3 linked regions of the Sus scrofa genome follow. The protein of the gene in region 3 interacts with the protein of the main gene of each other region in a pairwise test. Links are inferred from orthologs where the notes say so. Each region holds a gene or a part of one and is shown on either strand. Other genes may lie near its edges. The genes, in order: TSSK3, PLOD3 and EFHC2.

The links.
Region 1: the proteins of EFHC2 (region 3) and TSSK3 interact in binary tests that used the Homo sapiens proteins (3 or more experiments, as listed by UniProt). The two-hybrid records come from large-scale screens. The link is inferred for Sus scrofa from reciprocal best matches to the Homo sapiens genes EFHC2 and TSSK3.
Region 2: the proteins of EFHC2 (region 3) and PLOD3 interact in binary tests that used the Homo sapiens proteins (3 or more experiments, as listed by UniProt). The link is inferred for Sus scrofa from reciprocal best matches to the Homo sapiens genes EFHC2 and PLOD3.

What each region holds. Positions count from the first base shown.
Region 1 is NC_010448.4:88,809,068-88,812,117, reverse strand, and holds TSSK3 (testis-specific serine/threonine-protein kinase 3), read right to left. Parts: upstream 2,096-3,050; coding exon 1,951-2,095; exon of another isoform or gene 1,221-1,950; coding exon 559-1,220; downstream 1-558. Other genes in the region: protein FAM229A, read left to right, coding at 2,675-2,811, 2,893-3,039. UniProt on the Homo sapiens protein: Serine/threonine protein kinase required for spermatid development and male fertility.
Region 2 is NC_010445.4:8,911,229-8,913,677, reverse strand, and holds the end of PLOD3 (procollagen-lysine,2-oxoglutarate 5-dioxygenase 3), read left to right. Parts: intron 1-239; coding exon 240-344; intron 345-858; coding exon 859-1,005; intron 1,006-1,228; coding exon 1,229-1,354; intron 1,355-1,459; coding exon 1,460-1,615; 3' UTR 1,616-1,891; downstream 1,892-2,449. UniProt on the Homo sapiens protein: Multifunctional enzyme that catalyzes a series of essential post-translational modifications on Lys residues in procollagen. Plays a redundant role in catalyzing the formation of hydroxylysine residues in -Xaa-Lys-Gly- sequences in collagens.
Region 3 is NC_010461.5:39,520,919-39,524,573, reverse strand, and holds part of EFHC2 (EF-hand domain-containing family member C2), read left to right. Parts: intron 1-3,250; coding exon 3,251-3,474; intron 3,475-3,655. UniProt on the Homo sapiens protein: Microtubule inner protein (MIP) part of the dynein-decorated doublet microtubules (DMTs) in cilia axoneme, which is required for motile cilia beating.

The sequences.
Region 1 (3,050 bases), on a different chromosome or scaffold from region 3:
CCACAGCAACTGCCTAGAGCCAGAGCAGGGTGGCTTCCTACTTAGAGCCTGGGGGAGGGTTGTGGTGGGAGGTAGCCTGGGTCCTGAGGAAGTCCCTTGTCCTCATCCCAGACTCGGCTCGGCCTTTGGGATGAGGAAGGGCCAAGCCCCCAGCAGGCCTCTCACCAAGACAAGGAGTCAAGAGGCTGTTCTGCATTCCCAACGCTTCTGCTTTTATTTGGAAAGGAAGTTGCAACAACAGTTTTTTCAGTTGCTCTTGGTCATTTTTCTCCTGTCCTCCCCCTGTACGTGTATGATTCTGGGGACTGTTTTTAATTAACTTTAGTTAAACACCGGTATGAAAATCACTTGTCAGCCGTAATAAAAGGGAAGTCTGAATGAGGCCCTCTCGTTCCATGAAGATCTTTAAAGGGAAAGAGAAGTAAGGCTGGGGAGGGTATAGGTAAGATTTAGGATAAGTAAACTTAAAGTGTAAAATATATATCAACATTTTAGAAGCGGGTTTTTGGGTTTGCTTTCTCCCCCTGCTTTATTGGGGAGGACTTGCCATTGCTTTTATCAAGTGCTTGCTAGCCATGGATGCCAACTAACTTCTTCAATTGAAGGCCGGAGGGTCATGTCTGGTTCCAGGAGCCGCTTCAGCAAGTCCTGGCATTCGGCTGAGATGCCCAGATGAGTGGGGAAGGACACCCCTTTCTGCTGCTGCCACAGCATCTTGGGGATGTCTGTGTCATCAAAAGGTAGGCTGGCACAGAGCATGACGTACAGGACCACGCCCATGCTCCAGATGTCCCCTTTCTTGCTATCGTGGGGAATACCCTGCAGTACCTCGGGGGCGGCATAGGCTGTGCTGCCGCAGAAGGTCTGGCTCAGCTCCCGGCATGACTTGGGCAACACCTTGGCGAAGCCAAAGTCTGTCAGCTTCAGGTTGAAACCCTGCAACAAGGCGTTCTCGCATTTGAGGTCCCGGTGGGCCACACCACAGCCATGGCAGTAGCGGATGGCCTCGACCATCTGACGGAAGAGGGCCCTGGCCCGGCTTTCAGGCAGTGGCCCTCCATTCAGCACGCAGTCAAAGACATCCCCTCCTTCAGCCAGCTCCATTACCAGGTAGATTTTCCCGTCAGCAGACTCCAGCATCTCATACACTTGAATGATGTTCTTGTGGTCCAGGGTACGGACAATCTGGAGCTCCCGAGGCAGGAATCTCTGGATAAACTCTAAGGACACAAGGGAAAAGAGAAGGAGTGTCAAGTCCAGAAGGGCCTAGAACTCCTCTCCTGACTCCTGCCTTCCAGCTCTGGCCCACCATGTCTGGGTCTTGTGCCTTGGTTCCCTTGCACAGCCTTTAACATCCAGCTATTTGGACACTGCAAAGAATGTTCACCCCTGTTGTTTTTGTAGCTAATATATTATTCAGAGGAACTGTTCCCTGTCAGCCTCAGGGACCGTTGTGAGCAGCCTGTGAGACCGTGGATATCAAAATGCTTTGGAGACTTTTTAGACAAAGCTGTTGAATCTTTTGTGAGGCCTGATTGCCCACAGCGTGGTGAGCCAGCTCCTCTCACCTCTGACTCCTGAGTCACAGTTCTTTCCATAAGCCCTGTCTTTTCCCAGTCTCTACCTTCCTTGGCCCCACTCCTGCCCTCTGCTAGTCCTGGCCACAGCCTTCCAGTCTCTTCCCGTCCTGGAATAGGAAAGCCCTGGTGGGCTTGGATTCTGTTTCTGAGGATCCTTCTACCTCCTGCAGATTTAATCTTGGACTTTGGAGGGTGTGATTGTCCTTGACACCCAGCATTCCTCTGTTCCCCACTGACCTACCCCAGAGCCACACTCCCTTGCTTTCCTTGGTTTCAGATCAAAGAGAAGGAGGAAATGGTCCTTCTGACTGGAGGAAGCGCCCACCCACTTCAGCCAGCCCTCCCTTCCTCCAAAGGGCCCCCAGCTCACCTTCTGGCCCTCCCATCTTGTCTATAATTTTAATTGCCACTTTTCTTTGGTGTTTTTTGGAAACTGCTTCCTTGACTTTTGAGTAGGTCCCTTCCCCAATGGTCTTGCCCAGCTGGTACCCATTGGAGAGCAGAAAGTCCTCCATGCTGTCTAACACCTCCTTCCTTCCTATTACCCTCTCAGCTCATGCTGCCTCTGCGAGGCAGCTCTACTCCACCATCGCCCTTGGCCCGCTCCTTTTCCCCCCAAGGACTTCATCCGCAGCCGCCCCCAGGGCTAAAGCATTCTCCGTCTGGAGACAGCAGCCGCAGGTGGTGGGGAGGGAGAGGGCCAGACATTTTAAAACTCTGGCCTAATTGTGATGTAAATGATGTGTGACTCTTGGCCAAAATGAGCAATGCTCCTATCTGCCCTCACCACCACCACCACCAAACCCTGTCCGGGTTCAGTCACTGCTGCGCCCCGACCCCGCGCCAGGCAGTGAGTCGCTCGCGGCCCCGCCTGTGGGGGGCGCTCCAGGGGTCTGCGCGCAGCCCAGGATGCCAGGCTCCTTTCGGCGGACGCCGCCTCCTGTGCCCCCATAGGGCAGCTCGGGGTCTGTGCGACCCATGGCATGAGCCCTCCAGCTCTTGGCTCGCCACCCCGCTAAGTGCCCGGGCAGCGTGAGGTTCCCTGGCCGGAGGAACGGGTTCTATGAGGTCACCGCGCCTCGGCCCGGGTCACAATGCAGCCTTCCCCTTCGACGCCCGGGAACGGACGCGCAGCAGACACCTGCCCGGATCCGCCTGGACCGGAGCGTCCTCCCGTGGCCAGGGCTCGGGCAGCTGCTTCCGGCCTGGGACCGGTCTCGGCCTCCGGCAGGTGAGCAACAGCCCAAGGGGCGGGCGCCGGGTGGGGGAGCCCAGCTGCCCGGTAGCGGCCTGACCGCTACTCCCCGCGCAGAGCGCCCCGGGGCCTGGACATGAGTGCCCAGGAGCCCCCTCAGGGTCGAAGATTCCCCATTGAGGCTGGAGACTCCCCCGGCCTTGCCGCCGCCCCTGAGTCCCAGGACAGCCCGGAGCCTGTAGCTACGGAGCACAACCCGGTCAGGTAAGGCCGGC
Region 2 (2,449 bases), on a different chromosome or scaffold from region 3:
AAGTTTGAAAACGATGCTTCCGGCAGGGAGCCCTGGGACTCCCGTGCCATTTGTGCAGTGTTTCCAGCACTGGGCCCACCTTCTCTGGCCACCCTCTCCTGGTCCAGCCCCATTCCTCCACATTCTCTCATGGCCTGGTTTCCCTTTCTGCTCCCTGCTTCTTCTCCCTTCCACTGGCTGCCTATCCGCTCCCCGAGCGTCACCCTGCCCTGTTCTTCCCCCGCCCCGTCTGTCCTCAGCCCTGCCCAGATGTGTACTGGTTCCCTCTGCTGTCGGAGCAAATGTGTGATGAGCTGGTGGAAGAAATGGAGCATTACGGCCAGTGGTCAGGAGGCCGGCATGAGGTGGGGTGCTGGGGCAGGGGAGCAGGAGGGCCCCTGGGAGGAAGAAGAGGCTGGGGCTGGTGAAAGGAAAATGAAATTTAGAGAGTGGGAGCAGAAAGGGGTCCCCAAGTGGAAGGGGCACAACTGTATTCATTCATTCATTCAAGAAATGCTAGGTGGGTCCTAGATGCCAGCCACTGACTTTGGCAGTGCAGTGCGTTGATGAATTGTACGGGTCGAGCCCTGCTCTCCTAGGTCTCACCTGCTGTCAGTAGCAGCAGTGACCCAGCTTCTAAAGGCTGTGCTGGGCAGCCCAGGTGCTGTGGGAGTCACAGGAGGGGCCCATGCCCCAGACATGGGGGGACCAAGGGGCTTCACAGAAGAGGTGGCATCTTACCTGAGACTCAGAGGCCCAGCAGGAGTGAGTCAAGCTAAGGAGTCAAGACTTCCAGATGGAGGGAACATAAGCTTTAAGGCCTGGGAGCAGATGAGGAAGCTGGCACTGCCCTGTCAGCTTAGTGCCCACTGCCCGCAGGATTCAAGGCTGGCTGGAGGCTACGAGAATGTGCCCACCGTAGACATCCACATGAAGCAGGTGGGCTATGAGGACCAGTGGCTGCAGCTGCTGAGGACATATGTGGGGCCCATGACCGAGAGCCTGTTCCCAGGCTACCACACCAAGGTGACCGCTGAACCTGCTACCCTGACTCCACCTTCCTAGAACCCGGCTGGCCGTCTCCATGCAGCACCCTTTTGGGTTCCTGAGGCATTTGGGACCCCATGGAGTGAAATCCTGCAGGAAGGCAGCCCCCCTGGGGGGGGGTAGCATGAGAGCCCCTGCCACCTCTCCCCCTCCCCAGACCTCAGGACCCCCACCTCCAGCCTCTCCTCCCATGTCCCCACAGACCCGGGCGGTCATGAACTTCGTGGTCCGCTACCGGCCGGATGAGCAGCCCTCTCTGCGGCCCCATCACGACTCATCCACCTTCACCCTCAACGTTGCCCTCAACCACAAGGGCCTGGATTATGAGGTGGGTCCCTGCCACGCTCCACTTCAGGGTGCCACCAGGGTGCCTGGCTGCCGCCCAGTCCCCGCACCTGTTCACACTCCACCCCGTCCCCTTCTCATCCTCCAGGGAGGCGGCTGCCGTTTCTTGCGCTACGACTGTGTGATCTCGTCCCCACGGAAGGGCTGGGGGCTCCTGCACCCTGGCCGTCTCACCCACTACCATGAGGGGCTGCCCACCACACGGGGCACTCGCTATATCATGGTGTCCTTTGTCGACCCCTGACACTCAACCACTCTGCCCAACCTTCCCTGCCATTGTGCCTTCTCGCGCTCCCTCCTTGGAGGGGGTGTGCCCTGCCTCTCGGGCGCATGTTCCGTGTGTCTGGGACTGAATGTGTTGCCCCGCCCCCACCACACGGCCCTCGGCCCTCGGGAAGCTCAGGAAGCCCCCTTGCCCTGCTCCTCAGCCCCCAAGCATTCCCAGGGAGAGGGCTTCTAGGGGTTCGCCATGTAATAAGTTATTGTTTCTCAGTCTCCCTCAATAAAGGAGGATTTGTAACTCTCGCGTCCATTGATTCTTTGATCTACCTCTGGACCCCATGTCCCTCCCGCCACCCAGAGTGAAGGGGAGACCGGGGTCACTCCAAAGGAAAAGAACAGAAAAGACGAAAAGGCAGAAGCATGATGCCAAAGCAGAGTGGGAGCCTGGAAGCTTCCTGCGACCCCATATCTAACTCCCTGTCATCGCCTGAGCATGAGGGCCAGACCAAAAGGGCCTCCCTTGTCTGGCTCAGGTGAAAACCCACCTCCTCAGCTCTCTTCTTCTATTCTCTCCTCTCCTGATGGCATCTTCTCCCTCGTGTGAAGGCTGGGGGTGGCACAGACCTGAGCTGGGCTGCAGGGACAGTGCTAGGGAAGGAAGGCCCTCCTGGGGGCAGGTGTTCTATAAGGGAAGACAGGCTGGAACCTGACGGTAGCTGCTTTGGATCAGAAGGGAATCGGGAAGATTAACCCAAGAAAGCTTCCTGGAAGAGAGGGATGGGAAGCAGCCTTGAAAAAGAGGAGACCTCCTGGAGCTGGCCTTGCTTCCAACCCCAAGGGGACCATCAGCCCCTGC
Region 3 (3,655 bases):
GGTGCTCATCAGCCTGTGCCAAAGACATGGCATCCTGCATGTTTCTTTGATATTCCGGGACAAACTGCTGCTGGTGGAGTTTCTGCCATTTATCATGGAAGACTATAACCATACAAATGCCAATAACTAGAAATTTCAATCCCCAAAGGACACAGTTGAGAGATCCCACAGATATATCTTTGAAGGCTCTCATGTGTAACTGTACACTTGAAACAGCCCACGTTAGTTTTCTGATTAACATGGCATTGTGACTTTGGATTTCTTGTTTTCTAAAATTTTCTCATTTAGTGTTAGACCTGCCTTCTTTTTTCAACCCATGAATGGTCGGGACTCTCTCTTGTTACCACAGAGAACTTCCCTGGCGTCTTCTGAGAACCATCTAGCGAGAGAAGGGGCCAAGGATAAGGAAGAGTGCGAAGGTCACAGATACATGGATGCCTCAGGGAAGCGGAGGGAGGGGCAGGGGACTCAGTGGTGTTGGCCCTGGGGTGGGGATTGCTGCCACTGGCAAGTGGGCCCTCTCCAGAAATTTACTTTTAGGGAAGTGAGAGGCACTTCTTTTGGAAGAAGAGCTCCAGCATCTCTCTTTCATGGCGGCTGGCAACTCTTCTCCCCATTTCTGTCCTGTTTCGCCTGAGACACTCCCTCCACTCCTCCGCTTAAGTAATCTGTGGCTGTAGCACAGTGACATACAGTCCAGTGCAAACTGTGGAAAGCAATGGTATTTACTTAGAGCTTAAAAACCCAGATTCAAGACCTCTTTCTGTCATTTATGAGGATGTGACCTTGGGCGCGTCCCTTAACTACTCTGAGCTTTGATTTTCTCATCCGTAAAGTGAATATTTGTATTTCATGCATTATCTGCCTCATGGGATTATTGGAGATTAAAGGAGAAACACGTATGAAAGCACATCCCAGGGCTATGATGATGACTGTGATGATTATTACTTAAAAGCTCAGTGGGTGGGCCAGTTCTTCCCACTTCGAAAAATATAGGATTCCTATTTGAAGTCATAGAACAGACTTCAAATCAGAAATCAGCACTCATTTACTTATTTGAATTTTTATAATGAAGTACAAATGCGAGATAGATGGAATTCCTAAAGAAGCTCTGGCTGGTGAATACATCTTATATATTTTAAAAACTGTCACAATATAAGTATTTTTAAAGAGCTGTATAATGGTTCCTGAAAATACCTGAAATGCCCATGCTTTTATGGGTGTTTAAGTATGCAATTTGTTCTAAATGTCTAATCTTGAATGATTAAATAATTTGCATACTGTTTTCGGTGGCATGAATTAAGGGCTAATTGAAGTATAATTTTTTGCAGTAAAATTGTATCATCTTTTATGTAGTACATTTAAAAATATTCTAGGCCCGTTCTAATTTTATAGTTTTATTATTTTAATTTAATGTACCAAGTAATTAAAAATTGCTGCAAAGAAAAGAAGATGAAAATGATTTTAGTTAATTTCCTCTCAACATAGTGAAAAGATGATTAGTAGAATAATGGAACAGAGCTCAGCACACTTCCTGGCACATAAAGATATTCATTAAATGTTCCTTAATGAATAAGGAATGAATAATTTCCAAGCATTTCTAGACTTTGGGAAAAGGCACCATTCTCAGTGCTATATAAAATATGAAGAAGATTGCTTGACATCTTTATACAGAGGTTACACAAGCCAATTTTTCTTGAACCATTAGAGCCTCAGTTTGCTCTGCTTGCCATTTCTCCTTGTGTCTTTGTTCCTGGAGTAGATTCTCAGGCTTAAGTCACTCTACAGATGTTGAGGTTCAGATCTCTACGGGTATCTTGCATTTCTGTGGATCTTGGAAGCAGAGGTACTGACTGCTCTTTGTTCCGGACTGTCTTTTCAAGGATGTTTATATATAGCACCTAGCTTTGGAAGACAAAAGAGAGTTTTTCCTTTCTGGAGCAACGTACAGGTTTGCTCACAGCCTTGAAAGATAGAGGTGGTATCTCTCTCCAGAACAAAGGGCAGATATGTTTACTGTCCAGTCTTATAAAGATCATCTTTCCCTCTGACAGAAAAGCCAGGCATGCTGTTGCCCATTTTAAAAGATTTGGGTTCCCTCAGCCCAGGGTTCCTGTCTTATAAGGTAACCCACCCCATGTACAGAAGTTACCTGGCCCTTGTTGGGTCATCCTGTGGGAATTGGTACAAAATGCTGATGTTCTGGTTGCTGTTATTACTGTGAGTAATAAACTGTTGCTTGTCTCTAAACAAAGCATCTCATGTCTTCTACCAGCATCCCTGAAACTATAGTGGGCAAACTGGCAGAATAAATTGCAAGTAGAATAAAATCTCAAACCCTTAACAATTCTTGACAACAGGTTTCAGCAGTGTTTGGCTGAGTTGGGTATGGTATGGTGTAGTTGGTACATTCATCCAGTTAGGGAACCTTTTTACCTCCAGTGGCTAATTACCACTTGGGGATACTTGGGGACCCGAGGTCCATATTCTCAAGAGAAGAAGTGAATGGGCATCATAGGGTTGGAAGTTGAAGATGGGACAGGATCCAGAACCTTTAGCTCAGAGCACCGTCTAAAACTGTGAAGCCTCTGATAACCCTCACTTTGTGGGGATTGTTGGCTCTACAGGAGGAAGAGGTTGGTAGAGGAAAGAAGATTCTAAGAAGCTTCAAAGAAGCATAAAGTCATTCATACTTGTAGAAGTTAGAAATGTCTTAGTTGCTTGTTTGGTCTGCTCTCATTGAGTGCTAGTAGGTGAAAGTGAGCATGCCTATTTTGGGAAAAGACATGATGACAGTGTCTGGCTCAGTAGGCCACTCTGTTTTACCCCTCCTCCTTCCCTCCTGCCCTAGTCTTTATGGTTTATTCAAGTCCTTCCTGGAATTCCTGCTGTGGCACAGTGGGTTAAGAATCCAGCATTGTAGCTGTGGCGTAGGTTGCAGCTGCAGCTCAAATTCAGTCTCTGGCCCAGGAACTCACATGTGCCACAGGTGTGGCCATAAAAACAAGTCCTTTCCTAGCACCACTGAGGCAGCTCGAACAACATGCAAGGCGAACAACATGCAAGCGGCTTCAGAAGTCTCAGCTTCCTCTGGCACCCTCGGAGTTTGAACGTACGGATGCTACTGCCTCCAAGAACCAGCCCTTTGCCCGCTTTACTGTGGTGCATTCAGGGTTGTTATAAAGATGTGCTGTGATCTCTTTCTGGTTTGCCACATGCTGAAACAGCTGTATTTCATGTCCCACCATAGGAATTTTTATCCGCCGTCATCGGATTTCTCTCCCACCTCCTGATGAGGATCAGTTTTATACCGTGTATCATTTCAATATCAACGTAGACATTGTCTTATATGGTCGAACCTTCAAGATTTATGACTGTGATACTTTCACAAAAAACTTTTTGAAGAAAATAGGAGTCAAATTAAACCCCCCAGGACAGTGTCCAGAAGATCCTTACATGAAGACCCGGAGAGAGGTGAGTTGATTTGTCCATGGCCTTTTGTCTTCAGGATGAGAATCCCTTTGGAGCCAGTAAAAGGTATTGGTACTTGTGAGGCAGATGTGAACGAGCTTTGGGGGCCATGGTCATTGGAGTTGTCCTGTTTTCCTTTGGGCTGGAGGGAGGCTGGGTGTTGGCGTCAGTGTAGGAAAGAGTC